7 linked regions of the Macaca fascicularis genome follow. The protein of the gene in region 7 interacts with the protein of the main gene of each other region in a pairwise test. Links are inferred from orthologs where the notes say so. Each region holds a gene or a part of one and is shown on either strand. Other genes may lie near its edges.

Region 1 (3,549 bases), on a different chromosome or scaffold from region 7:
ACTACAGGCGCCCGGGGTTTCACGGTGTTAGCCAGGATGGTCTCAATCTCCTGACCTTGTGATCCGCCCATCTCGGCCTCTCAAAGTGCTGGGATTACAGGCGTGAGCCACCGCACCCGGTCTCAAAAACACATTTTAAAACATGATTAAAATGTTAGAGAAGGCAATTCCTTTCCAAATACTTCTACTGAAAAAGTTTATACTATACTGTCTTACCAGTAATTATTCTCAAATGGTAAAGAGGAAAAATATAAGTTCCAAACGATAAAAACTGTTGTTTTATTCCTAGTGCCTAGACCAATATCTGGAATAAAATATTTGGGCCCTTAGAGCAACATTGTATTCTATTTTGAAAACTCTGATTTTTTTTTTTTTTTTTTTTTTTTTAAGACAGAGTCTCGCTCTGTTACCCAGGCTGGAGTGCAGTGGCACGATCTCAGCTCACTGCAACCTCCATCTCCCAGGCTGAAGCAATTCTCCTGTCTCAGCCTCCTGAGTAGCTGGGATTACAGGTGCCCATCACCACGCCGGCTATGAAAGTTCTGAATTTTTAAAGTGGGGTGCAAGTAGTAATATTTTCAGTACAGAAATCGACTTAGTCTATATACTTTTTGGTGTTGTCTTTACCTGGATTTTCCAGGGGAGAACTTTCCACTCACACTCAATGTGAACTACAAAGCAACATTTCAGGTGAGTTTATCCAATTTAAATAACCATAAGCAAAATAAACACATTACGATCTTAACTTTAATGTTAAATATTTTTCCCCAACTATTCCCCTTTTATCAACAGAAGACACTGAAAAAAGCACTTTATGAAGTAATGACAAATACGTAGTATTAGGCTCGTATGATACTGAAATCTCAAAATCTCTTTCTAGACCAAACTTAGTTTTCACTAACAATGCTTACCATTTTTCTTACAGACATTTTACCAAATGAGAGGATTTAACCACTATGGTGTTCATGCAAAAGATTACTGTGAAGTGCAATGAGAAAGAACATGATTTAAGAGTTTAAGTGATTACTCTGTTACTCAAATAGAAAAAATACTTACTTGACATAAATATATTTTGTGTAAGCTCCATTCTTCTCCTAGAGCACAAATCTTAATGTCACTGTTTTCACCATTCAAAAATAATGTTTGATAAATATATTTAGATGTACTCTTTAATTTTTTCCTGTTAAAAGAAATGAAAAAGTCACATATTTATATAAATTGAATGTTTTACTGATTTTGCATATATTTCTAAATACTCCTTTTATTCAATTTCTATTAAATAGAGTCAACTTACCTATTGTGTAAAAGGATAGGGGGAGAGTATATATTCAAATTTTCTTGTGTCTAGAAGAGTACATAAGAAATTAACAATAGTGGTTATCTCTGGGGTCCTCTATGCATGAGAGAGATAGTGGAGAAATGGGGGCGGCATGGGAGGCAGACTTTTCACTACACACATTTTAGCAATTTTGGACTAATTTAATTACCTATTCAATAGATTAAGAAGTTAGCATGTTGATTTTTTTGCTTATTTCCTTATTTAAAAACCAGCACTATGAAGGAACTCAAATAGTGCAATAATCTGCAACTAGGAAATGGAGAACAAGAGTAAACATTTCACTTACCCAAGTAATTTTAAAATGATTTACATTTAATCTTACTTTGGTACCAACCTATTCTTAAACTACTTAAAATGTTTTCTTCCCGCTGGACAAATGGTTTGCAACCTTAGATCAAAGATTTTATTTTCTTATTAGTTTTTTAAATTTATTTATTTATTTATTTCAGATGAAAGGTTTTTAAAAACTGCTCAAAGGAGAAGTCTTAGGGGCCACCAAGGAGAGCTGAGGAGTGAACTGTGAGTATCCCATCTAACTTGAACCAGAGCAGCATCACCTATTATATCTGTAAACATACGGGATTTCTGCACAGATTTAATTTAAAGGAAGAACTTGACTAAAAAAATAAAGTTTGAAAATTATTGCTCAAAATGGTCCAGTAACCAAGAAAAGGCTCTAGGCAGAGGCTGATCAATATCTCAAATTCCTGACCAATTCTGACAGCTTTCCTAGCACATAAAACTTTCAATCTCTCTCTTTTTTTTTTTTTTTTTTTTTTTTTTTTTTGAGACGGAGTCTTGCTCTGTCGCCCAGGCTGGAGTGCAGTGGCCAGATCTCAGCTCACCGCAAGCTCCGCCTCCCGGGTTCACGCCATTCTCCTGCCTCAGCCTCCCGAGTAGCTGGGACTACAGGCGCCTGCCACCTCGCCCGGCTAGTTTTTTTTTTTTTTGTATTTTTTAGTAGAGATGGGGTTTCACTGTGTTAGCCAGGATGGACTCGATCTCCTGATCTCGTGATCCGCCCGTCTCAGCCTCCCAAAGTACTGGGATTACAGGCTTGAGCCACCGCGCCCGGCCCTCAATCTCTTTTTTAAAATGAAGTAATTGTTTCAGATGACATCCTGAACCGGTGAGTTTAACACCTGTGTACTTAACACCTCTTCCTAGCCAACAATAAAAACAGCACATGCCTTAGTGGTAACAGACTTGGGTTTGAGTCCTAGCTGCCCCCCTGTTCAGTTATCACAGCTGTAAAAAGAGGACATTAATAGTACCCACTTCATTGATTATGATAAGAAATCAAGAGACAATGTAGTTTCCAGTTCCTGATAGCAGAATGTACACATGTTGGCTTCCCATCCCTCCCCAAATTACATTAAAGATTAAGAGTACAAAAAGGAATAAGTCCACACCAGGAAAAGGTAAAGGGTAGACTCATCACTTGATGAGAGATTTACACAGATCTGAAGGTTAGAAAATAAATTCAAATGAAAAAGAACAGTGAAAGCCATAGCCAAAAAATACATTATGGAGGGCTAGGATGGAGGCTAAGCTTATCTGCCCGTTAGAACCCTTGGGAGAAAAGTAGGATGAGGTCTCAGGGAAACAAAGGCAGAAGAAAGAAGAGGGGCAGAAAATGGGGAAATTAGTGCCTTCTCCACTCTATGAACACAGATTATAGATAAGGAGAGTACAGATACTGAGGCAAAAATATTCCAAGGCTTTTCTAGAAACAGCACAAAGCTAATGGAAGATCTAAGGCTGTAGTGTAGCTGCTGGTGCCCAGACAAAGCAATCCTCATTCTGAAATTTAAAGAATCTGTGGCCTGTTCACTCCCAATCCATTCACCCTGAGTCATGGTTCCCAAACTCTGTGTGAAATTCACCAGTTCAGGATACCATCTGAACTTAGAGCACCACAGCCAACTCAGAGAGGCATGTGGAATATTTTAAATTTGAAGGAAACACAGTAACACCTTTCAGATACCATGCAATCTGCTATCATTAGGTTGTTTGGCCCTAATTATGAGCTATTTCTTTTGGACTAGGAGTGAAAATTACTAAAACATGAAATGTGCTGTGATCCATGAAAGCTTGGGAAACTCTGCTCTACAAAGCATGCCCCACCTATAACCAAGTTAGTAGTCTTCTTACTCAAAGAAGAGGTACATTGGAAATAGATCTATTTACTCAAAATACCATACACCAGT
Region 2 (4,021 bases), on a different chromosome or scaffold from region 7:
GCGTGTGTTTGTAATCCCAGCTATCCAGGCTCTTCTGCCTCAGGAGAATCATTTGAACCTAGGAGGCAGAGGTCGCAGTGAGCTGAGATTGCACCACTGCACTCCAGCCATTGTGACAGAGCAAGACTCTGTCTCAAATAAATAAATAAATTTCCCCATACTTCTAAGTTTGCTAGCAGCAACTTGGGATGCCAGATCCCATGCCCTATGCTAGGGCATTCCATCCAAGTCTGTGAAATGGTGGGAAGAAACAGAAACTCTGGGTATGTGGCCAGTGAGTGCCAGGGAGAATCTGATGCCATATGTGCCATGTCCAATACAGTCCAAAACTAGTTTTTTCATTTTCTGGAAGAAGAAACAAGGCATAGGGATCCAAGAACTTTCCCAAGGTCACAAGGATATTAAGTGGCAAATTCAGGATTTAAAAATAGTCTGGCTCTGGAAACTGGATTTTATGTAGCAAGCGAAGGAGTCATTAAAGGGTTTTAAGCTGGAGAGCGACAAGAAATCAAGAGCTTTTAAGGCCGGGCGCGGTGGCTCAAGCCTGTAATCCCAGCACTTTGGGAGGCCGAGACGGGCAAATCACAAGGTCAGGAGATCGAGACCATCCTGGCTAACATGGTGAAACCCCGTCTCTACTAAAAATACAAAAAACTAGCCGGGCGAGGTGGCGGGCGCCTGTAGTCCCAGCTACTGGAGAGGCTGAGGCAGGAGAATGGCGTAAACCCGGGTGGCGGAGCTTGCAGTGAGCTGAGATCCGGCCACTGCACTCCAGCCTGGGCGACAGAGCAAGACTCCGTCTCAAAAAAAAAAAAAAAAAAAAAAGAAATCAAGAGCTTTTAAATGAAGCTCCCAATCTCTACTGTACTCCACATTCCCATCTGACTAAACTCCAGCAGAAGCAGGTGGCCCCAGAGAGGTTAACAGCATCCAAGACAAGGTTTGAGGAGTCTCTAACTGGCTGCAGAACTTCGTGTGGGCTTCAACACTGACCCATAATCTTCCTATCTTCATCTAATCCTACACCTGCTGAAGAGAAGATCTAGCCAGAGGCAGGTAAGATCTGTGTAGAAAAGCCAGAATGAGGCTGGGTGTGGTGGCTCATGCCTGTAATCCCAGCGCTTTGGGAGGCCGAGGTGGGCAGATTACGAGGTCAGGAGATTGAGACCATCCTGGCTAACACGGTGAAACCCTGTCTCTCCTAAAAATACAAAAAATTACCCAGGCATGGTGGCACGTGCCTGTAGTCCCAGCTACTCGGGAGGCTGAGATAGGAAAATCACTTGAACCTGGGAGGTGGAGGGTACAGTGAACCAGATCGCGCCACTGCACTCCAGCCTGGGAGACAGAGTGAGACTCCATCTCAAAAAAAAAGAAAAAAAAAAGGAAAAAGCCAGAATGAGGAGAGGAGACTGACCTAAGGACCAGCAGCAGGAGGACCGTCCTGCTCTCTACTGTTGGTCTGTGGGTCTGAGGGTCCTGGCCGATGAGTTTTCTGGTGTTGCTTGAGATGGTCAGACCTCATGAACTCCCGGCTGCACTGATCACACTTATATGGTCGATATCTGGTGTGTACCCGTGTATGTCGTCTCAGCTCATCAGAACGGAAGAAAGACCACGAACAACTTTCCCAGTTGCAAGAATAGGGCCTCTCACCTGGGAATGACAAGGGAGAGATGGAATTTAGAATAGAGTAGGAAGGAAGGGGTCCGACTCTGAGGCAGAGCAGTCCAGGTTGAGGATTCAAAAGGGAAGGTCCAGGGAACCAGGGAGCGGCAACATAATCAGGAGTGCCCACCCCAGTCCTCCTGTATGGCAAGTCGGGGAGCCAGTCTAGCTTAGTTCCAAGCTTGGAAGAGGAAAGGCTCATCCCAAACAATTACCCACCAGTGTCCCAGGACAAATCAAAAGCCCAGAGACTCCTCCATCCCCACCCCACCTGACACCTCCTTCACCTGTGTGCTTGCGCTGGTGGCTCACCAGGTGGGAGCGTTTGGTATAAGCTTTTCCGCAGTTCTCGTAGTTGCAGCGGTAAGGCCTTGCCTCCGAGGAGCCCCCTCTACCAGTCCTTTCCTGAGGCCTGGAGTTCTTCTCTGCTGTCTGTGGAGCAGGTCTGGGCTGCTCTGGTAGAAATGGGTCTTCTTGAGAGTCCGGCTGAGTTACAAGAGAGTCCTGAGACCCTAAAGCCAGCAATGACTGGGGCTCAGCTGGAGGCATCCCAAGGTCATGGGCATCTTGTGGGGGCAACATCTGAGCCATGGATGGGAGCACTGCCTGGGCCTCAGTGGAAGGCATGGTCGGGCCTAACAATGTTTCTTCAGAAGGCACTGTCGAGAGGCCAGGGTAAGGCATTGGAGGGTTCCTAGCGTGGGACATCATTGGGATTCCAGTGGAAGCCGAGACTGGCAGCCCACTGGGGGGCATCCTTAGATTCCCGCTGAAGGGCCTGGCCACCCTTGGAATATTGGGCTCTCCTATGGGCATTAGTTGGGGCCCACTGAAAATCATCATCTCTTGCTGAGGGGGAGACACTCTCTGACAGTAAATCATCTGGGAAGGAGTGAGAGTCGCTTGGGGGCAGTAACTCACACCACGCTCAGGCAGTGGCATACTGAACTGTGGCCCTCCTTCATCCATATTCTGCCTCGGCGCCTCAACAGACACCAAGGGGGACCTCAGCATCTCTGTACTGTGAGGAAAGTGCTGAATGCTTGGTAGGCCTTGGTTCCAAGAGGTGTGCACTCCAGAGCTTCCAGAAGATGAAGACATGTTCAAGATGGGCGCTGAGTTCTCGTTATCCTTGGGGAGAAAGAGTCAGGTGATTTTTGCTCAAATTCCAGTTCCACATGTCCCTCCTCTTCATTCCCAGACCCCATCCTAATCCAGCCCTCTGTTTCCATCTCTTGCTTGAAAAATATCCTGCCTCCAGACCATTTTCCAGCTTGGGCTTTCTCACATGCGGTCTGGCTGATACAAGCCCCATAGAAGCCTAGCCGTAACTCATGCCACTTTCTCTCGGACATGTTTTTGGTTTTTATTTCACACAAAGCAACAAAGAGAACAAATAAAACAGTCCATAACCTACACCTTCAGCAAAACTCTGAGAAAATGTTCAGACTCCAATTTATTTTTTTCTTTTTTTTTGAGACAGTTTCATTCTTGTTGCCCAGACTGGAGTGCAATGGCGCAATCTCGGCTCACCGCAACCTCTGTCTTCTGGGTTCAAGTGATTCTCCTGTCTCAGCCTCCTGAGTAGCTGGGATTACAGGCATGCACCACCATGCCCGGCTAATTTTGTATTTTTAGTAGAGACGGGGTTTCTCCATGTTGGTTAGGCTGATCTCGAACTCCCGATCTCAGGTGATCTGCCTGCCTCGGCCTCCCAAAGTGCTGGGATTACAGGCGTGAGCCATCGCGCCCAGCCCAAACTCCAAATTATACATAAGTGTGAAAGTGAAAGAACATCCTAAACCAGCAGAACGGGTGCAGAAAGCCACAAAGATAGAAGGAATTGAGGCTGCAGATGGGTCTTGGCTTTAGCAAAACTTAGACATCATCTGCAAATATTTGCCTATGGAAGAGCATCTGCCCTGAGTGGGAACTGCCTGGGCAGGTCGGAGATCAAGCATTGGTGGAGATATGGGGAAAAGGCAGATATGACAAAAACACTTCTTAAAAAAAGGGATGGGGGTTGTCTGGAAGTCAGGGGCAGTATCCCTCGATGACTGACTTGCATGAAGGGTAGGAAAGAGATTGGTGGTAGAAGGTCTTAAAATAGGATAGGAGCCAAGAACCATGTTTTTAAAACCTGTCAGTAGGCCAGGCACGGCAGCTCACAACTGTGTAATCCTAGCACTTTGGGAGGCCAAGGCAGGTGGATTGCTTGAGCTCAGAAATTTCAAAAACAAAAACAAAATCAGCTAGGTATGGTGGCGTGTGCCTGTAATCCCAGCTACTTGGGAGGCTGAGGCAGGAGAATCACTTGAGTCCAGGAGGCAGAGGTTGCAGTGAGCTGAGATTG
Region 3 (3,549 bases), on a different chromosome or scaffold from region 7:
GCAGAACTCTAAGTTCCACTCACATTGAATGAGAATTCCAGAAAGGGCCTGCTTGAACTTCTCCTTTGCTTCTTCCATATCTTTCTCATGGGCAGCTTTCTCGTTCACCAGGCGGCGGACATGGCTGTTGGCTGACTGGATCATGGAGTAGAAGTTGTTGGCGCTACGACGGTTGACCTCTCCTCGCTCTATCCAAGTGAGCAAGGTCTGTACAGCTTCTGAGAATTTGGAATCATCTGAAAAAAATATATTTTTATAACCAACAAAGGTAACCACATTTTGATCTATTTTCCCAACATGCTGGCAAAGAGGGCATCATGGTTTTTGGCAGTGGTGGGTAAATGAATTGATGAGGATGAGGAGCCACACATACACACATGTGCACACACAGGCAGTAGGCAGGCAGACAAACAGGAAGAATGGAAGGATCAATGCAGTCAGATTGGTTGTGGTCTATGATGAATTTTCAGAAAGAGAAATGTTTCCTTGAAAAAAGTTTTCTGCACTGATATATAGCTTTCATGTATTGCAAATCTCTTACCCTCTCTGTGTGTGTGTGTGTGTGTGTGTGAGAGAGAGAGAGAGAGAGAGAAAGAGAGAGAGAGAGAGAGAAGGGGGGCAGGGGGCAGAGGGGAGAGAGAGAAAAAAAAACATGAATTAGTGAGGGAACTTCAGAATTCTATAGTCCTGTGTTTTAATGAGGAAAAGCAAAGTTGAATCCTGAGTTTAACTCGAATTTGACAGTAACTTTACCTTGGATCCATGGAATTACAGTGTTGGGAGGAGCCTCAGGGAAGAGTTAAGTGGGTCATTCTTTAGACACAAACATGTACATCTTCAACCTTTTATAGTATCACTCCTGTGTTCAATCCACAGCCCCAGGCCTTCCACTCAGTCCCAGTCACAATTTATTTTGATGCAATTTATTTTATTTCTATATTTCTCCATATCCTCTTTTCTCTTGCCTGAAGAACCCTCCATGTAGATTTCTGCAGCTAGTTAGGAGTTATTCTGTGATTAGTTAAGATAGTTAAGAGCACAGCTCTTCCAAAGCTTCTGGTTCAGCTCCCCAAGATAGCCACTTACGCATTCTGTTCGTAAAGGCTCCAGAGAGGGAGAGCCCATTTGGATCTATTCAAGGGCTTCACATCCTTCTCTGGCTAGAAACCCTTATGTCAAATGGAAATTTCTTTCACTGCAATTTGAACTTCCTGCCTCTTGCCCCTTTTTCAGTGCAGACATATAACAAGCAATCAGCCTCCCCTTATAGCAGCTTTTCACTTTATTACTTAGATATAGACTTTATGTTGATGCTCAGTTTTTGCTTCTCTTGAGGGTCACACACCCATTAAATTCATTTTTTTTAAACTTAAACTGATTTGTTTGGTGTTGTGCAAATAGGCAAGTCTTGGACCTGGCAATCTTACCAATGCTTTCAGCCTTTCCAGTTTTTCAAAATGTACCATTATTTCTGTGCCTCTATTCTGGACTCTAGATTTTCTGCTTTTCCCTTAAAGAAAGTCAAAACCAATTTCTTACATGTGTGAATCCCTTAGGCTATGAGGTACAAACATGTCTGGTGAAGGAAACCTATTTGGAAAGTAGGATTAGCAGTATCTTGCTGAGCTGAGAGCACAAGAAGAAGGGAAAATTCATACCATTAGAGCTGGATTGGTGTTACCAATAAGATCAATGGGACACCAGCATTCATCCAATAAAATCATCTATACTCAGAAAATGAGAAAGACTGGATTTGAGCTACTAAGACAGGAGACCAGGCAGAGCAATTAATGTTAAATTAACAAAATGGCTGAGAGTCAAACAAGGGGAACAAGAATCAAAACTAATGGGAAAGCAGTCTGATTAAGCAATGTCTACATGTCTCCAGAGTCACTGTTTTAAATAAATTGGTCTTTTAAAGTGATTTAAAAGTCTTTACTTTTTAGTTGGTGGTGGCTAAGTCTTTGAGTAATCTAAGAAGAATGTACAGCATGACTACTTTCTGGACCTTAATTTTCTCGTCTTTAAAATGAGAATTTTACCAGAGTTTTTCAGGAACACATCAAATCCTATCATCCAGATTCACTCATTTGACTTGGAATTAAAACCTAACTTGTATCCACTATAAAAGAGGGCTCTTACAGGTTCCAAGTCACATAGATCATGCCTAAAATTCTCTGAAGTGGAAAAGTGAGGAAAACTTGTTTATTTCTAGCCGCCTGATGTCTGAAGAGAAAAATGCCATCCCTTGAGACAATGAAGGAGCAGAGACACAGGTAGTAGGGATACATTTCCTGGTTCTTGAGTTACTAGGTACACCCCTCTATCTGCAAGGCTTCAACACAAGAAATGCTTAGAATCCAGTAGTAGGAAACTCAAAGGGCAACTGTCAACAACACAATTATATTTATTACACTTCTCTAAAGGAAAGAGTTCTTTTAATCATGAAGCTTGAGTGCCTTTGATACCTTTTAATTTTTCAGCAACAATGCTGCATTCGTGATCTGAATAGTGGACCACTGGGGGTGGAGATGGTGGACGCAATCTTTCTTCTTCCATTCTTCTACGATGGCGCTCCTCTCTGGCTAGCATACGCTGTTTACACTCCCACTCATACAGGTCATCTCGAGCCTGTGCGAAATCAACATGGAGTCTGCCTGTGTCCTTCTTGTCAGTACTAGAGCCCAGGCGAATGCGGTAACCTAAGTTCACAGGAGGGTGAAAGGGAGAGGAGAGAGGGAGAGCGGGGGGTGGCGGGGTGGGGGGAGGGAGAGAGAGAGAGAGAGACATGAAAGACTATAAATACTTTTCCAAGTTCAGTGTTTCAGATGTCACTGCAGCAGTTCCAAGTGACCACACAACTCCAAATTCTCTCCGATGCTTAGCAAGTAAATCATCAAAAGACTTAAATTATCTCTGATAACAGGTCACATTCTATGGGTTGGGTTAGTCTTGTTCTTAAGAGTTCCATTCCTCCATCTAATACCTTACCTCTGGCTGAGGTTGACTCCGTGGGTAATAATATCAAGCATGATCCTTATATGGTACTAAGGGCTGGGAAGAATGGAAAAGGTGGCCTCAAATGAACTTGTCTTTAAATAAATTCAAGAGTGTCCATTATACTATCACAAAAATTTTGGTAAAACTGAAATGCATTAACTTGGCATTTTAATCCCTAAAATTGTTTCCTAGAAGCATTTGTCAACTGTGAACCATTTTTTTTTTTTTCTGACAAAAAAAAAAAAAAAAATGATGGGGAGTGGTGTGTGACCCACGTGACATATAATTTGGGATCCTTAAAAAAGAGATGTAGTGTGATTATAATATAGTAGTATAGGACTGGGATTCAGAAAACCAGTATTCAACTCCCTACCTCCTCTTTTTGTGCCAGCTATACTTACCCAAGTCATGTCTCTTAACAAAAAGTGGGGAAAAAACTAAGTACTTTTTAAGTTTCAAGAGCTCAGCTAGATACTTCCATAGGAATTTATCTCATTTCATTCTCAGCACAAGCTTGCAGGGTAAACATTATACCAAACAGAAAACTGA
Region 4 (4,125 bases), about 31 Mb from region 7:
TTACTGCTAACAAGGAAACGTGTTGCTAACCAGGCACGGTGGCATGTGCCTGTAGTCCCACCTGCTTGGGGGTCTGAGGCAGGAGGATGGCTTGAACCCTGGAGGTCTAGGCTGTAGTGAGTTGAGATGGCACCCCTACACTCCAACCTGGGTGACAGAGCGAGACCCTGTCTCAAAAACAAAATAAAATAAAATAAAAAGTAAAGAAAAAAAAAAAAAGGCAGCTGGGCGCGGCATCTCAGGCCTCTAATCCCAGTACTCTGAGAGGGCGGATTACCTTAGGTGAGGAATTTGAGATCTGCCTGGCCAACGAGGTGAAAACCCACCTCTACTAAAAATACAAAAATTAGCCGGGTATGGTGGCACACCCCTGTATTCCCAGCTACTCAGGAGGCTGAGGCAGGATGATTGCTTGAACCTGGGAGGCGGAGGTTACAGTGAACTGAGATCGTGCCACTGCACTCCAGCCTGGGCGACGGAGTGAGAATCTGTCTTAAATAAATAAATAAATAAATAAATAAAATGAAAAAAACACAAAACACATTGCACCCCACTCTGAGGATTTTGCATGAATTGTTTTATTTAATCCTTAAAACAATCCTCTAAACTAGGGGCTATTTTCTCTCATGTTAAAGGAGAAAAAGACCCGAAGGGATTAAAACACTTGCCCCAGGTCACACAGCTGCTTAGGGAATGGAGCCCGGGATGTGATTCCGCACTCCCACCTCACTGCCGCCCTTAACCACAATTAAGTCCAACTGTCCAGCATTGCTTGAGTGTGGTATTGTGTTCTTATAGATACGATCCTATTTAAACTTTCTTGTCAAGAGGTATGCAAGACGATCCCCATTTAACTTTGTGTAGCTTGAAGAGGTTGATCATTTTTCCAAGGTCACGCATCGAGTGAGTGGGGAATCAGGAGTCGGAATTTGAACCCGGGCATATCTGTAGTGTAGACCACTGTCGGGGGTGGATGTGTAAGAAGCTTAATTGCCGGGTTTGGCAGGTGCATGGGTAGTTGTCAGGGGCTCGTACTTTGAGAGGCAAAAGCTCCCACTCGCCACCGTCCCCCAGAGTAAAAAGCCACCTCTTTCCACCCCTCACTCGCGCAGCTGCCCGGGCATGCGCCCAGAAGCCCCTCCTTCAGAATCCGCCCTTTACAGGCTCCGCCCATCACCGTAGAGGGCCAATCCCTGGGGCGGAGGGCGGGGCAGCCACGAGAGTGGGCGGTCGCTAAGGGTAGTTAGGAGTCTGGAGTCGTGAGCCGAAGTCAGAACTGCGTCTCGCGACCCAGGCGCCGGTTGCTGGAGGAGAGCGAGCAAGCGATGCTGCCGCTGCCGTTTCCTGATTGGTTGTGGGTGGCTACCTCTTCGTTCTGATTGGCCGCTAGTGAGCAGGGTATGTAAATGAAGGGGCCTGGGAAGAAAAGGGGTACCAACGGCCGGGTCCTTCACGGAGTTCGATCCCTGGGTCCGACAGGTGCCCGCCGGGGCTGCCCGGGATCGAGACGCGCGGGCCTCTACGTGCTGTCTGCCCCGGCCGGGCCGGGTGAATCACGCCGCAGTCCGAGAAGGGGGCGGAGGCGCCGGCTCCTTGGCTCCGGCTGCGTGACTCACCCGCCCCCGCCGCCGCCGCTTCGGGAGGAGCCGCCTCCACTGCCGGAAGCGAGCGGAGGCCGGGCGCAGAGAACAGCCCGCCTAGGGTCCTGGCTCGCACGGCGCCGGGAGGCCTGCAGGAATCACAGCCGGGAAGGGGGGCAGTAGAAGGGGTTCTGGGGTCAGAGGGGCCAGAATCCCCAGGGGAAAGCCGGCCTGGGCACCGCCAGGGGGCGCCGGGACTCGGGGGCGGAGTCGGGGGTGGGGGCGGAATTCCTGCGGTTCCGGACTCCACGGACTGCGGGGAAGGGGACGAAGACCCAGTTTTGAGTAGTGTGGTGGGCCACTCTTAAAATCTTGCTAGGCAGGGTCCCGGAACTGGACTCTGTTCAGTCTTCCTGGCCCAAAAAAGTAGGTAGCGCCAGGGGTCCAAAACTCCATCCAGCCCTACCCCCGCCACTCCAAGAAAAGAGTGGACCCTCAAACTTATCTCAGTGACTGACCCCGGTGCCGATCACGATTTCTCGACAAGCCCTGTCTATTCTGCCTCCCAAAGAAATCCTGACTCGACCGACTTCCTTCCATACCCACTACCAGCTCCTGCTCCAGGCCATCACTATCGTCAGTCCCAAACCAGTACAGCCTACTAGTGGGTCTCAGATCCCCCCTCTTTTTGCCCCCTACAGTATTCCTCGAAGCAGCCATGGGGGGGATCTTCCGGAAACCTAATCAGCTCACACCCCCATTCCCTCCGTGCTCAAATTCCTTTAATGACTGCCCACCACACTCAGGATAAAATCCAAACTCCCTACTAATGCATATGTGGTTTTCTGTGACCTGGCTTGTGCCCATTCCCCCAGCCTCTGGGCTTTTCTTTGCCTTTTTTTGTTGTTCCCTCCTCCCGGAATGCTTTTCCCAGGGTCTCCCATGGCCGACTTCTCTGGCCTGAGGGCTCCATTCAAATGTCACCTCCTTACAGGAGCCTTCTCTGATCATCTAAAAGGTCTGCAGGACCTTTTAGTGTCTTCCTGTAATTCTCCGTACATTTCCTGTGTTTGCTTATTTATTTACTGTTTGAAACGTCATAGTAGACAATAAGTGTTAAACTATGTGAAACTAGTTTAGTATTTATAATATAACTTACTTAGATATAATTATTTATAACGTTATTATAATATATGAAACAGCTGCTTTTGTAGGGGAAAAAGTTGAATGGTCATTCCACATGGTTCACTGAAGAAATAATAATGTTATCATTAAGTGTACTTATTGGCAGGGCATGGCAGCTCACACTTATAATCCCAGTACTTTGGGAGGCTGAGGCGGGAGGATGGCTTAAGGCAAAGAGTTTGAGACCACCCTGGGTAACATAGTAAGACCTTGTCTCTACAAAAAATAAAAGGGGGGAAAAAAAAGAGTGTTTATTGATTGAGGGGGGAGGATCACTTCAGGCCAGGGGGTTTGAGACCAGCCTGGGCAATATAGTGAGACCCCATCTCTTTTTTCAGATTAAAAAGTCTATAAATATACTTAAATACAAAATTTAAAATTTAAGGCCGGGCGCGGTGGCTCATGCCTGTAATCCCAGCACTTTGTGAGGCCGAGATGGGTGGATCATGAGGTCAGGAGATCGAGACCATCCTGGCTAACATGGTGAAACCCCATCTTTACTAAAAATACAAAAATTAGCCGGGCGTGGTGGCGGGCGCCTATAGTCCCAGCTATGTGGGAGGCTGAGGCAGGAGAATGGCGTGAACCCGGGAGGCAGAGCTTGCAGTGAGTGGAGATCGCACCACTGCACTCCAGCCTGGGCAACAGAGAGAGAGACTGTCTCAAAAAAAAAAAAAAAAATTTTTTTTTAAAGTCTATAGGCTGGGTGTGGTGGCTCACACCTGTAATCCCAGCACTTTGGGAGCCAGAGGTGGGCGGATTACTTAAGGTCCAGGAGGTCGAGACCAGGCTGGCCAACATGGTGAAACCCCACCCCTACTAAAAATATAAAAATTAGCCAGATATAGTGGCGTGCGCCTGCAATCCTAGCTTTTGGGGAGGCTGAGGCACGAGAAACACTTGAACCCGTGAGGCAGAGGTTGCAATGAGCTGAGATCACGGCATTGCACTCCAGCCTGAGCAACAGAACGAGACTCTATCTCAAAATAATAATAATAATAATCTATAAATATACATATGCAATTAAATAAAAATTGTCTATATCTTTAAAGTTCCCTAGGAAAAGCTAGACACAGAGAGGTTAAGTGACTTGCCCAAGATCCTACCTGTAGCAACTGTCAGATCCAGGCTTTGAACTGAATATTTGTTTTCTATAACTGACTATAACTCCATAACTCCCTGCCCTCTGCAGATGCTGAGCAAGGGTCTGAAGCGGAAACGGGAGGAGGAGGAGGAGAAGGAACCTCTGGCAGTCGACGCCTGGTGGCTGGATCCTGGCCACGCATCAGTGGCACAGGCACCCCCAGCTGTGGCCTCTAGCTCCCTCTTTGACCTCTCGGTGCTCAAGCTCCACCACAGC
Region 5 (3,549 bases), on a different chromosome or scaffold from region 7:
CCTTGCACCAATGGTGACAGGCCCTCTTCCAGCTGCACCCACAGGTCCAGCTCCTCTACAGGAGACACTGAGCACCTCCGCTCCAACACTACTGCTGTGGGCAGAACCCTCTGGTGGCCTCGCAGGTACCTTCCAGGCCTGCTCCAGGCAGATGGATGGCCCAGACATCCCTCCTTCCAGCAGCACATGGGCCTTGCCCAGCACAGAAGGTGGAGGGCGCTCAGAGTCCTATGGCCAGGAGGACGCCAGGGTGACCTTGCATAGCCGTGACCACCTTTCTATGGGCCTCCTGCCTTGGATACTGCATGCCCTGGGTCCCCAACCCTTGGGACCCAAGCGCTTAGACAGCCCAGGTTTGACGCCCTTTCTGAAGTGCTCCAGGCCCCGGTGCACCAGCACTGTCTCAAATCTCACAGGTGTTTGATCATAGCCAAGTCGTCTCTCACATAACAGCAGAGCTCACTCTGCCTCCCACCACCCTCAGCTGCCTTGCAAACCAGCTGTGACTCCTGCACCCTGTCTCATTCACAGGTCATCCCATGCCCCCATGGCAAGGGGAGGCTTGGCCAAGGACCAAGGTGCAAACAGCAGCTTGTAGCCCCGCTGGCTTGGACCATGAGTCCATCAACCTCCGAGGTGAGGACATCGGGGCAGCGGGAACATACCTTGCGGTAGCCCTCGATCACCTCCTTCTGTTTCTCAAAACGCTTGAAGAGGTCGGAGAAGGACTTCTCCATGGAATTCAGGTCTGTAGTAAGTTGGTCTTTTTCTTTTAGAACTTTCTGGATTTCAGCTTTGGCAAGTTCCTTCTGTTTCTGAACTTCCTCTTGAGAAAAGAAAAACAAACGTTCAGGATGAGGAGGCAACCGAGACGCTAGGTGCCAGAGACGGCCCAAGGAGTGAGGCGAGGCGCTTGAGTGCCAGGAGGAGAGGTGGGTAGTGGGTGTGAGCCTCAGCAGGGCAATGAGCCCCTCCACCCGGGGTCTTCCTAGGCCGGAAGCAAGGCCCAGAAAACAGCTGTTTCCTCCACATCAGATCCATAGGGAACTGGAGCCTGGGCCAGGGCCCAGCAACAGAGGTCCCCAAAGAGAGGCGGCGCCCAACATCCTTGAGTCTAGGGTGAGGCCTGGGAGCCGGTACAGCGAACTCCAGGCTGTGGGTCGTGCTGTCGTGGTGGTCCTGGAGGGACTGCAAGGGCCAGGCAGTCACCTGCCCCCAGCTGACACTCAGCCTAAGACAGATCCCCACAGTAGCACCTCCAGGAGCCCAAGCTTTTGGGAGGCCGGGTGGGGCCCGGTGTTCCTGTCCTGCCAGACACCTACAGAAGCTGATGCTAGACACATCCGCACGGTGAGGGCAGGGTGGAGTGGAGCAGGCCATGGCGGGACAGGTTCTGCTCCCACCACAGCCCCACTGCTAGCTCAGCATCTGCACAACTTTGGGGCCTGACAAGTGCTGGTTCTGTGGGAGCCACCAGCCTCACTACCACCAATCTCCCCACAACTTGCCTCAGTGGTTCCACAGCTGGGCCCATGTTGAGGGGATTTGTGTGTTAGGAAGAGGGGCCTCAGGAGGGTGGGGCCCTAGGCAGGGTACGGGGCAGGGCCAGGGTGGGGCATAGGCAGCTCCTCCTGGAGGTGGGTGCCCTCAGCGGCCTGGGAACTCACCCATGGCCTGGTACACGACCTCTTCGAACCTGTCCATGATTTTCCTGTGGGAGGAGAGCACACAGCCATGGCCTCGGGTGGCCAGCGGTTCCAGGCCAGGTGGAGATGCGCACGGGAACAGGGATGGGGAGGACAGGGGGCGTAGCCTCCTTACCCCAGCTCTAGGTTCTTCCCGTGGAGCTCCTCACACCTGCTCCTCAGCTCCCGGTTCTCCTCCTGTGTAGCCTTTACCTGCTCGGGCCACACCCAGGTCAGCAGGCAGGTGGGCCAGACTGACCCTCCCAAGACCTCCCCACAGGATGGGGCCAGCCGACACCCGAGGTCCCCGGAGCTATGTCCCAGAGCCACAGTTCCATGTAGGGCTTCTAGTGGGACCCTGGGAAACCCGCTGAGGCCAAGGCTGCCTGCTCCACATGCACTCGACTGCCGGGGGCAGGAGGCCTGGGGCTTCGGGCTGTGATCCTGGGTGGAACCAGCAGGCACCCAACAGGTGTGTGTCCTGCACCCACCCCCGCAGCCCAGTGGCGGACACCAGAGGTCCTAATTGTTAAATATAGTGAACCCCAAGTTTCTCTTCAAAGAATCAGTATGTTAGTATGTTCAGATCTTTTTTTTTTTTTGAGACAGAGTCTCGCTCTGTCGCCCAGGTTGGAGTGCAGTGGCGCGATCTCTGCTCACTACAGCAGAAGGGGCTACCTACATCAGGAATAAGAACCCCTTCCCCTCCCTTGTTCAAGTGTGCTCTTGCCACTGTTCCATCTGCGAGGGGCACGCTTTCTGCAGAAAATAAAAACTGCCTTACTGAGAAAATTAAAGTTATATTCGAGTGCTATTTCTTTGTGGCACCAGGGAACAAGCATTTTGCATTTCTAATATAAGTTACATGCAGGGGCCACCTGCCCCCGGAGTCCAGGCCTGCAGAGGAGGGGGCCAGCCACGCTGTGGTCCCCAGCCCTGCTATTGGGTTCCTCGCATGGGCTCTGACACAGGGAGGGCGTTGTTGGGGAACTGAGTCAGGGCCGCATCACATCGCAGTTGGGGCCACTGCGAGCAACACTGGTATGGATGTTGGGGCTTGAACCCAGCCCTGCCAGCCGGCCTCCGGAGCCACCCTGGGACCCACCTCCCTGGGGACTGTCTGGTGGCAGTAGCTCACAGCGGTGCCTGCAGACACCCAGCCCCTTTGCGTGCCTACAGCTCTCTTATGGACAATTTAGGCCTGGAGTTAGAACAGGCTGAAGCCTGGCATGTGCAGTGAGGATGGAGGGAGACAAGGCAGGGGACCTCAGGTGTGGGGCGGGTGAAGATGGAGCTTCCTAACCTGCCAGGAGATGCGTCTGGACTTGTGGGAGGGCAGCAGGAAAGGGACAACACTTGGGTTTACATCAGCGAGTACCACACACTGCTGCAAGGCCACCAGAGGTGAGCATTGCACCCAGGCCACAGAGTCCTGGGGAAGCTGCTGGTGGGCAGCTGACTGCGGGGACACTGGGTGGAAGCCTGGACCCTCAGCAACCTGGGCAGCAGTGACAGGCCAGGGGCCGGCAGCTCTCTGCAATCCCACCCTGACCAGCAGGGGCAGGGATGGCAGGGATGGCTGGTCAGGCTGTTTGGACCCCACCCGTGCCCACTGTTGGCCAAGCCCCAGAGTGGCCTGCAGGTTCTGTGGAATAGCCACTCTCTTCGTCCTTACCGCTGCATCCAGGTCCTTCTGGCTGTACTGGAGCAGGTCCACTATAGGCCCGGTGGACAGGGGTGGGCCCCCAGGTGCGGGGACACCTGGAGGTGGGCCTGGCACCTGCAGGAGATGGGGATGAACCAGGAACCCATTTCGCCCTTGCCTCTTGCCTGTGACCTGGCGTTGGGGGGGTGGGGAAGGAAA
Region 6 (4,349 bases), on a different chromosome or scaffold from region 7:
TGTTAATAATTTATGCAGCTGACACAAACACTTATATTGGCTTGTTTTTCCAGTACCCTCATTATCAGCTTCAACATGTAGAAATGAACTTAATTTTGTTAAATGGTTATTTCCCACTAAGTTAGGAGGAGAGATAAACACGTTTTGTTAAATTATTCCACTTTAAAAAAATTATTAAAATAAATTAAGGGAATCAGTTACTGAATTCCACTTTCTTGGTTTCCCCCAAACAAAATAACATGTGCTTGTATGAAAATTCAGTTTGCCCTAAGAAACTTAAGAGCAATGGCTCAGTTCAGGAAGCATAAAGGACAATCTGTCATGTAGGTTACTCATTGCAAAAAATAAAATGAACAGTAAGAGCTTACGGGAATTGCAAGAGTACTCTCATCAACCTGAACTGGGATCTGCTTCCAAAGTGACACTGATATCAAATGTTCGGTTTATGAAATTGTCACTGCATTCTAAAATTGACTGTTTTTCTAATACAAATTGAAACCTTCTTGCTATGATTAACCATTCAACTCACTATCTAAAGAGACTTTCACTTATAGTTAGGAAAGTACATTAAATATCAGTGACACTACTGGTAATTTTCTTATAAAAACTAATTTGTGACAGAACATTAAAAGTTCACCCCCTGACCTTGGAAAATAAAAGTTAGCTTTTGAGACCATGACAGAAGAATCCATCCCATAGGATTGCTGAATAACAATTGATATTGCTGTGAAGGGTGAAGGAATATTAAATATGCGGTCAATCATTTTCATTTAGGTGGCATCTTACCTAAAGCTTTATACACGATAAACATTTGTCCAATACTTCAAACCAACATATGGGATTACCTTCTAGGACTATTATTAACCCAATTCCGCAGAGGAAGAAAAATATGCAAATGTTATATTAAACAAATGATATCTTCCAAAAATATGCAATCCAGGTTGCACTATAGCCACGAAAGAAAACTCACAAGTCTCTTAATTTTAAAGTATCTTTTAACAATTTTATGATAATACAGGTAGGTAAGAGCTTTGAAAAGTGGTCTGGAAAACTTTGAGTTTCTCTGGATTGCTACAGAAAAGTTACTCGGCAAGTGTGTCTTCAAGTACCAGAGGTCAGAAAGGTTTCCCTTTTCCGTGGCTGCTCAAATTATCCCCCACTAAAATCAGCGCCTCCTGCGCGCACCCTTACATACCACCTTCAGGCACGTAGCTAACTAACACTACCCGAGCTACTGTTGCTTCGCTGTATTTGTCTCTACTAATACCCACTTGGTAGAGGGATTTGTTTTCCACTTTTGAAACGTTGATTCTGTAATTAGCTTACACCACATGAACATGTACTATTAAGGTTCGTCTTTCTTCCAATGTGAGCATCTATTTATTTACAATTCTCTGACACATTCCTTAAAATCTGAATTCCTAGATAATGTCTTTTTCCCCAATAAAGGGAAAATTTTACCATTTGAAATAGGGTGCTATTTAAAGAACGCTGAAATAAGAATGTTAGAAAAAAAAAAAAAAAAACTAAAACTTTTTTTTTTCTCATGCGCTCTGCCAAGTTCCACTGCAAGTTCCAAATATTGTGCAATGATTTGGAAATCCAGTTAACGATGGGAAAAATCGAGCCACTCACAGTCGGGAACTTGCAAGAGAAAAGTCAAGAAGCGGCACCCGCACGCACGCCTGCCCAACCGACGCTGCATCTCTGGGCGCACGCCCCTCCCTCCCCAGCGCTGGGATGGAAGGTCACGCTTCGCAATCGATTTCACAGCCACTTGTCCTTTTTTATCAACCTTCTGGTAAACTAGTTTAGGACCTTGGAGAGCTTAGAGCTGCTGGCTGTATATGCATTGCTCTCGGATAAACACGTGTCCCCCAAATATCAGGACCAAAGCTTCACCGCCGAATTTGGCCGCGGGAAGCCACAAAGGGCAACACATTCCCATATTCCCCGCTGCCACCCTGTAGTGCGAGAATCTCCCCTGGCATCTCTCCGCCCCCTTTCCAGGCCGGCGCGCACTCTCGAGGGTGCCTGGTGCGCCCTTACCTGAGCTGTCGCTTTTCCTCTTGCCACCGCTTCGCTTCTCCGCCTCCGCAGGTGACAGTGCCTGGCGGCCGTAGTCCCCCGGCGCGCACGCGGCCCCAGTCGGGGTGCTGGAGCCCAAGCTGGAAGAGTTGGAACACAGGACCGGAGGGCTGCTCCCCAACTCTGGGGGCCCTCCGGAGTCGGGCTGGAGGCAGAGGCTGTGTCGAGCCGCACTCGGTGGGGAAGACATCTGCGGGAGGTGCCAGTTGGTTTGCAGAGCCTGGTGCTGCTGCTGCTGATGATGGTGATGGTGGTGGTGGTGGTGGTGGTGGTGCCCCCTGTGATGCTGGCTGGCAAACATGCCTTCTTCGTTGGGGTATCCCGCGATTATGCAAGATGAGGAAGAAGTAGAGAGCTCGGGGTAAGACATATGGTCAGATCTTCCATGGAGGGCGAGAGAAGATTGGGAGAACGGGTGCAAGCCTTGCGCCGTGGCGTGAGGGCTGCGCAGGCAGCCAAAGAGCGGGTGTTCCATAGCATGCAAGTTTCAGGTTCCAGGCAGAAGACTTCAGGACGGTTCCAAAGGTCACCACCCTCTGTCACTTTTCACTGGAAACCGTATGATTTTTTTTTACCCTCCCAAAGCAATAGCCGTGCACTTCTGCAGAGCTCGGATAATCCCGGTTCTGAGCCCCAGCGACCAGTCTCCTTTGCATATGAACAGTCGGACCTGGAAGAGCTTCCCTGAACTACTCAGATGTCAAGAGTGGGAGAGGTTGAAGCCAAAAGAAGGTGGTCCCAGAGAACTGCTTTCAGGGGGAAATGGCTCTGAGAGGTTATAAATAGAGTGTAACGTGAGCTGGGGGCCGGCTTAGGAGCCCAGAGTTGACCACATGCAAACTCCCTCCAAAACTCCCGCTCAGTTTGCGCCACGCGCTCCCCAGTTCCACTTCCTATCGCCTGCTGGACAGACGCAGAGCGTCCACGCCCGCCCAGCACTGCCGGCTGCCAGGGCTACAAGCGGCACGCCAGTGCCTAAGTCCCGCCCGGGAGGGCAGCAGCTCTGCCCTCCAGACTCTGGAGGCCTGGGCGCGGCGCACACCACCCCCAACCCAGCACCCTGATTCCTACCTACTCACTTTCCTCTCCGGGAATCGTGATTTGTCAGTGTCATTTGTGAACTGTCACCTGCAGAAAAGCTAGGGATATGCCTAGCCTTTCAGGAACCCAAAAGAAGTAATAGGGTTAAACGAAAAGATCAGAGCTAGTTAGGCGCATCCTCGAAGTTTTTCAAACTTCGCATCTTCCAGTGCCCTGGGCGCCGCAGCGCGCCTAGGTTTTCACAGCTGGTTTCTGTGGGTGGATTGTTAATGGGCTGGGACGCCAGATCTGAGGTTGTGGGGATGAGTACCATGGCCTGGAAAAGGCAGTTCTCAGTGCGGAACCAAGAGGGACCCGGTAGGGTGGGTGGGAGGAAGGCGTGAGTCTGAAAGGGTTGCAGATGCCTGTTCCCTGGCATCCTCTTGTGCGATGCCAGGTGGAGTCTCCCTTCCCCCTCTTTCCTGGTCCCGCTCAATTTCCTAGCCACTTGTCCACCAAGAAGAAATTTTCCTGGGTCAAAAATATTTCCAGGCGATTTTGTCCCGGTCACATGAGATGTGTAGATTGCACGCACATATCTAGCCTTTCCCCTCAGGAGCTAGCCTAGGTCTCCGCAGTTTCCTACAGAAATCCACTCTCTTCCCCTCAAAAATAAATCCGCTAATCGCATCCCTTATCACCACCGTCCCATTTACTGAGAAATCTTACATTTCGATAGCTCCCAAAATTCACTAAGCTTGGGCACTTGGCTATAACTTTGCATCCGTGAAAATAAATTAGAAAATTTGCCTCCAGTAAGCATGCAAGAACGATGGCAGGGCTTTGAGACTGCCACTTGTTTGGCGGGTGACAGGGTCCGCTGGGGGCAGAGTCGTTTACACACAAGTGAGTGGCTCTGTAATGAGCAGGAGAAACAGTCAAGTCCCATCTGGGACCTGTCGCATCAGGAGAATATCTGTAGTCACCTATTCCGCCCGGGGCCCCAAATGCACCACCAGCAGTGTCGCCCCGTTATTTTCATTGTCTCAGGTGTCCAGAGGATGATGAGCAGGTCTTTGAAGTTGTTAGTGGGATTAATGGGTACAGCAAACTGGGCTAGACATCTGGTTTGAATTAGGAAAAAGTATTGATTAATCTTTGAGAGGTGTCCCCAAAGCAGAACCTTCCCCCTCCTCTTCCAGTCCCCCTGCTTAAGCCTCACTATCTTCTTTTCTTGTAAG
Region 7 (4,020 bases):
CATCTCTGGATATCGTCATGTTATCAGCAAGACCCTGCCTCCAAAGATACCTTCACTTTCATACATTCCGTTCCTCTCCTCATAATGGGAGGAAGGGGCTGGGTGCCGTGGTTCACACCTATAATCCCAGCACTTTGGGAGGCTGAAGTGGGCGGATCATCAGAGGTCAGGAATTCGAGACCAGCCTGGCCAACATGGTGAAGCCCCATCTCTACTAAAAATACAAAAAAGTAGCTGGGCATGGCGGCAGGCACCTGTAATCCCAGTTACTTGGGAGGCTGAGGCAGGAGAATCACTTGAACCCGGGAGGAGGAGGTTGCAGTGAGCCGAGATCATGCCACTGCACTCCAGCTTGGGCAACAAGAATGAGACTCCATCTCAAAAAAAAAAAAAAAAAAAAAAAGGGGGGGGACGGTTTCCTCAAACGGGTCAGAGCAGAGGCACACAGCTAATATTCATGTTTTTCTAAAGGGCAGACAAAAGGCATTTTGCAAATAACTGAATATCACACACACTATCTAGATTGTAAGGCCAGTTCTCCACTCAGATGCCCTCACCTGGTGACACCATACCTTCATTAGGGCATGCTGAGCAGCAGCCTTGCAGAGACCATCCTTGGTGGGTCTGAGGTTCCCAAGCTGCTAGGGACTCTCTCTGAGAGAGACACGAGTCCCTGGGTCATATGATGACTAGGAACTCAATGAAGGTAGGGTGGGGAGACCTAGAACTTCCCTCCTGACCACTCAGTTCCCTGTCGGGGTCCCCTCAGGGAATATCCTGGGTTTAGGTTTCTGTATGGCTCTGAGCAAGTTCCTCTCCCGCTCTGTGCCTTGGTTATTCTATCTGATAAGCAAGAAGTTTGGGACAGACGAAATGTCAGCCTTCAACCGCCTTGGGGCTCTGTGCATCTACCCTTCAGCCTGGGGTCAGCCCTACCCTGTCTGAGCCTCAGTTTCCCCATCGGTAATTTGATCATGATGGCCAAGGTGACCCTGCAAGCTGTCCTCACCCAGACAATGGGGCTCACGAGTAAAAGGTGTGGCCATCAATAATGGATGTCCTGTTACTACACAATTGGGGCCTCGGCCCCGATCACACTGCAGCCGAACCCTGGCCAGCTTGGGTTTCACAGCTCCAAGTTCATGGGCCGGGGCCCCTGGACAATGGCCCCACAGGCTGAGTGATGATATGGGATTCTCATCTGTGCCCATCGTGCTCGGTCACACCAGGGACATGCAGCAGCCTTGGGCCACCTCCCCATACCCTCACCTTAATGCCAAGCCCGCAACCCGTAGTGGGCTCTGGACTTTGCACCTGGGCTCCCAGCCTCAAGTCCCAGTCTCAGGAGAATCTTTATCTTTCATTTTGTTTTTTTGAGACGCAGTCTCGTTCTGTCACCCAGGCTGGAGTGCAGTGGCGTGATCTCGGCTCACTGCAACCTCCGCCTCCCAGGTTCAAGCAATTCTCCTGCCTCAGCCTCCCGAGTAGCGGGGATTACAGGCGCCCACCACCACGCCCAGCTGATTTTTGTATTATTAGTAGAGACGGGGTTTCACCGTGTTGGCCAGGCTGATCTTAAACTCCTGACCTCAGGTGATCCACCTGCCTTGTCCTCCCAAAGTACTGGGATTACAGGCGTGAGCCACCGTGCCCAGCCTCAGGAGACTCTTTCTAACAAGCTGATGCTCTCTGCCCTGCTCATGCATGCTCCATGGCTCCCTGCCACCCTTGGGAGAAAGCCCAAGCTCATCAGCCTACAGACTGGGACAATATGACAAGATGTGACTTCTCAGCTTTTCCATCTCTGCCTCCATGCACTGACCACACCTGCCCCCCTTCCCCATTTGAGTCCCATCAAATTGGAAATACCAGTTGGGCATGGTGGCTCACACCTGTAATTCCAGCACTTTGGAAGGCTGAGGCAGGTGGATTGCTTGAGCCCAGGGGTTTAAGAACAGCCTGGGCAACGTAGTGAGACTCCCATCTCTACGAAAAAATACAAAAATGAGGTGCACATGGCGGCTCGCACCAGTGGTCCCAGCTACTCGAGAGGCTGAGGTGGCAGGATCACCTGATCTTCGGAGATCGAGGCTGCAATGAGCCGCGATTGCACCACTGCACTCCAGCCTAGGCAATAGAGACCTATCTCAAAAAAGAAAAGAAGGAAGGGAGGGAGGGAGGGAGGGAGGGAGGGGAACGAAAGAGGAAAGAAAGGGAGAAAGAGAGAAAGGGAGAAAGGGAGGAAGGGAGGAGGGGGGAAAGGAGGAAGGGAGGAAGGGAAGAAGGGAGGAAGGGAAGAAGGGAAGAAGGACCATACACACACACACACACACACCCCAAATTGCAAATATCCTCCAGCAATGAATAGAAAGTTGTTTTTCCAGATCTTTTCTCTCCACCTCCCTGGACTGACCTCATGATCTCCTTCCTTGTGAAAAACGTGCAGTCCTGTGGAGAGAGGTGTTGTCTTAACCCAAACCCTGCCTCTGGGGCCTCCTCCCACGGCCTCCTCCCTCCACCCCACACTCACACAGATGGCCCAATGCTGCCACACACAGAGCCGAACGAACCAGGAACCCAGGCAGACGGTACACCCGGATGAAGGGATTCTGTTCCCACTTCCCAGACCACGGAACCAAAGCTGTCAAACCCACTGAGGACCCCTCCTGACCCCTCTACCTGATACGCTTCCAGCTGCTCGTGTGTGAAGACTGTCTGCTTGTTGCCCATGGTGTGAACCACAGCCCAGACTCGGGGATGCACGCTGAAGGCTCCCAGCTTCCTCGGGGCCACACGGGTTGCCAGGCTGTTGTGTACCAGTGTCTGGGCAAATCTCCCTGCCCTGGCTGTCACCCGCCCACCCACACCGTCACCCCCTGCTTGGTGAGACTCAAATTACAGCCAGGCTCTCTGGACAACAGCCTGAATGTGTCCATGGGTGAGGATGAGGGCTGTGGGACATCACAGAGAAGCCCTCAGTGGGGAGGCCACATCTGCCACCACCAGGTGAGGCTGGGGTTACGGGGCACACTCAAAAGACAGGGAGGGTATACGGAAGGGCTATGGGCACACGCCAGCTCAAATTCCAGCTCTCTGCCCACTAGCTGTGTGGCCCTGGGCAAGTCACCTGACTTCTCTGAACCTCATTCATGAGATGAAAATTACATTATACCTACCTCATATGGTCATTCTCAGGATCTGAGATTTAAAAAAAAAAAAAAGATTTTGGCTGGGTGAATTGGCTCATACCTGTAATCCCAGCACTTTGGGAGGCCGAAGCAGGTGGATCACCTGAGGTCAGGAGTTCAAGACCAGCCTGGCCAACATGGCAAAACCCCGTCTCTGCTAAAACTATAAAAATTAACCTGCTCTTGTGGTGCATGCCTGTAATCCCAGCTACTCCAGAGGCTGAGGCAGGAGAATTGCTTGAAAACGCAGGAGGCAGAGGTTGCAGTGAGCCGAGATCACACCATTGCACTCCAGCCTGGGCGACAGAGCGAGACTCCATCTCAAAAAAAAAATTCGGTTTTGGTTGGGTGAGGTGGCTCATACCTGCAATCCCAGCACTTTTGGAGGCAAAGCATGAGGTTCGCTTGACGCCAGGAGTTCAAGATCAGCTTAAGCAGCATGGCAAGGCCCTGTCTCTACTAAAAATACAAAAATTAGCTGGACGTGTTGGTTCATGCCTGTGGTCCCAGCTACTCGGGAGGCTGAGGTGGGAGGATTGCTTGAGCCCAGGAGTTTGAGGCTGTAGTGAGCCGTGATTGCATCACTGCACTGGGAACATGAACAAGCTAGATGAAGTTCTGGGGTGCGCATTGATGTTATTATTATTATTTTATGATGTTTTATTTTTTTGAGATAGAGTCTCACTCTTGCCCAGGTTAGAGTGCAGTGGCATGATCTTGGCTCACTGCAATCTCTGCCTCCTGGGCTCAAGCGATTCTCCTGCCTCAGCATCCCAGGTACCTGGGACCACAGGTGTGCACAACCATGCCAAGCTAATTTTTTGTTTGTTTG

Evidence for each region.
Region 1: the proteins of CIB3 (region 7) and GMCL1 interact in binary tests that used the Homo sapiens proteins (3 or more experiments, as listed by UniProt). The two-hybrid records come from large-scale screens. The link is inferred for Macaca fascicularis from reciprocal best matches to the Homo sapiens genes CIB3 and GMCL1.
Region 2: the proteins of CIB3 (region 7) and KLF17 interact in binary tests that used the Homo sapiens proteins (3 or more experiments, as listed by UniProt). The two-hybrid records come from large-scale screens. The link is inferred for Macaca fascicularis from reciprocal best matches to the Homo sapiens genes CIB3 and KLF17.
Region 3: the proteins of CIB3 (region 7) and ENOX2 interact in binary tests that used the Homo sapiens proteins (3 or more experiments, as listed by UniProt). The two-hybrid records come from large-scale screens. The link is inferred for Macaca fascicularis from reciprocal best matches to the Homo sapiens genes CIB3 and ENOX2.
Region 4: the proteins of CIB3 (region 7) and SERTAD1 interact in binary tests that used the Homo sapiens proteins (3 or more experiments, as listed by UniProt). The two-hybrid records come from large-scale screens. The link is inferred for Macaca fascicularis from reciprocal best matches to the Homo sapiens genes CIB3 and SERTAD1.
Region 5: the proteins of CIB3 (region 7) and TACC3 interact in binary tests that used the Homo sapiens proteins (3 or more experiments, as listed by UniProt). The two-hybrid records come from large-scale screens. The link is inferred for Macaca fascicularis from reciprocal best matches to the Homo sapiens genes CIB3 and TACC3.
Region 6: the proteins of CIB3 (region 7) and MEOX2 interact in binary tests that used the Homo sapiens proteins (3 or more experiments, as listed by UniProt). The two-hybrid records come from large-scale screens. The link is inferred for Macaca fascicularis from reciprocal best matches to the Homo sapiens genes CIB3 and MEOX2.

The regions. Positions count from the first base shown.
Region 1 is NC_088387.1:52,106,661-52,110,209, forward strand, and holds part of GMCL1 (germ cell-less protein-like 1), read right to left. Parts: intron 1,181-3,549; coding exon 1,057-1,180; intron 672-1,056; coding exon of another isoform or gene 628-671; intron 1-627. UniProt on the Homo sapiens protein: Possible function in spermatogenesis. Enhances the degradation of MDM2 and increases the amount of p53 probably by modulating the nucleocytoplasmic transport.
Region 2 is NC_088375.1:190,618,844-190,622,864, forward strand, and holds the start of KLF17 (Krueppel-like factor 17), read right to left. Parts: upstream 2,802-4,021; 5' UTR 2,770-2,801; coding exon 1,956-2,769; intron 1,657-1,955; coding exon 1,418-1,656; intron 1-1,417. UniProt on the Homo sapiens protein: Transcription repressor that binds to the promoter of target genes and prevents their expression. Acts as a negative regulator of epithelial-mesenchymal transition and metastasis in breast cancer.
Region 3 is NC_088395.1:136,951,092-136,954,640, forward strand, and holds part of ENOX2 (ecto-NOX disulfide-thiol exchanger 2), read right to left. Parts: intron 2,703-3,549; coding exon 2,469-2,702; intron 237-2,468; coding exon 24-236; intron 1-23. UniProt on the Homo sapiens protein: May be involved in cell growth. Probably acts as a terminal oxidase of plasma electron transport from cytosolic NAD(P)H via hydroquinones to acceptors at the cell surface.
Region 4 is NC_088393.1:47,526,799-47,530,923, reverse strand, and holds the start of SERTAD1 (SERTA domain-containing protein 1), read left to right. Parts: upstream 1-1,280; 5' UTR 1,281-1,398; intron 1,399-3,957; coding exon 3,958-4,125. UniProt on the Homo sapiens protein: Acts at E2F-responsive promoters as coregulator to integrate signals provided by PHD- and/or bromodomain-containing transcription factors. Stimulates E2F1/TFDP1 transcriptional activity.
Region 5 is NC_088379.1:1,881,860-1,885,408, reverse strand, and holds part of TACC3 (transforming acidic coiled-coil-containing protein 3), read right to left. Parts: intron 3,466-3,549; coding exon 3,289-3,465; intron 2,478-3,288; exon of another isoform or gene 2,295-2,477; intron 1,899-2,294; coding exon 1,822-1,898; intron 1,712-1,821; coding exon 1,668-1,711; intron 933-1,667; exon of another isoform or gene 827-932; coding exon 666-826; intron 1-665. UniProt on the Homo sapiens protein: Plays a role in the microtubule-dependent coupling of the nucleus and the centrosome. Involved in the processes that regulate centrosome-mediated interkinetic nuclear migration (INM) of neural progenitors.
Region 6 is NC_088377.1:114,505,966-114,510,314, reverse strand, and holds the start of MEOX2 (homeobox protein MOX-2), read right to left. Parts: upstream 2,843-4,349; 5' UTR 2,564-2,842; coding exon 2,050-2,563; exon of another isoform or gene 2,003-2,049; intron 1-2,002. UniProt on the Homo sapiens protein: Mesodermal transcription factor that plays a key role in somitogenesis and somitogenesis and limb muscle differentiation. Required during limb development for normal appendicular muscle formation and for the normal regulation of myogenic genes.
Region 7 is NC_088393.1:16,490,360-16,494,379, forward strand, and holds the start of CIB3 (calcium and integrin-binding family member 3), read right to left. Parts: upstream 2,816-4,020; 5' UTR 2,731-2,815; coding exon 2,680-2,730; intron 2,449-2,679; coding exon 2,414-2,448; intron 1-2,413. UniProt on the Homo sapiens protein: Acts a an auxiliary subunit of the sensory mechanoelectrical transduction (MET) channel in hair cells. Plays a role in regulating hair cell MET channel localization and function.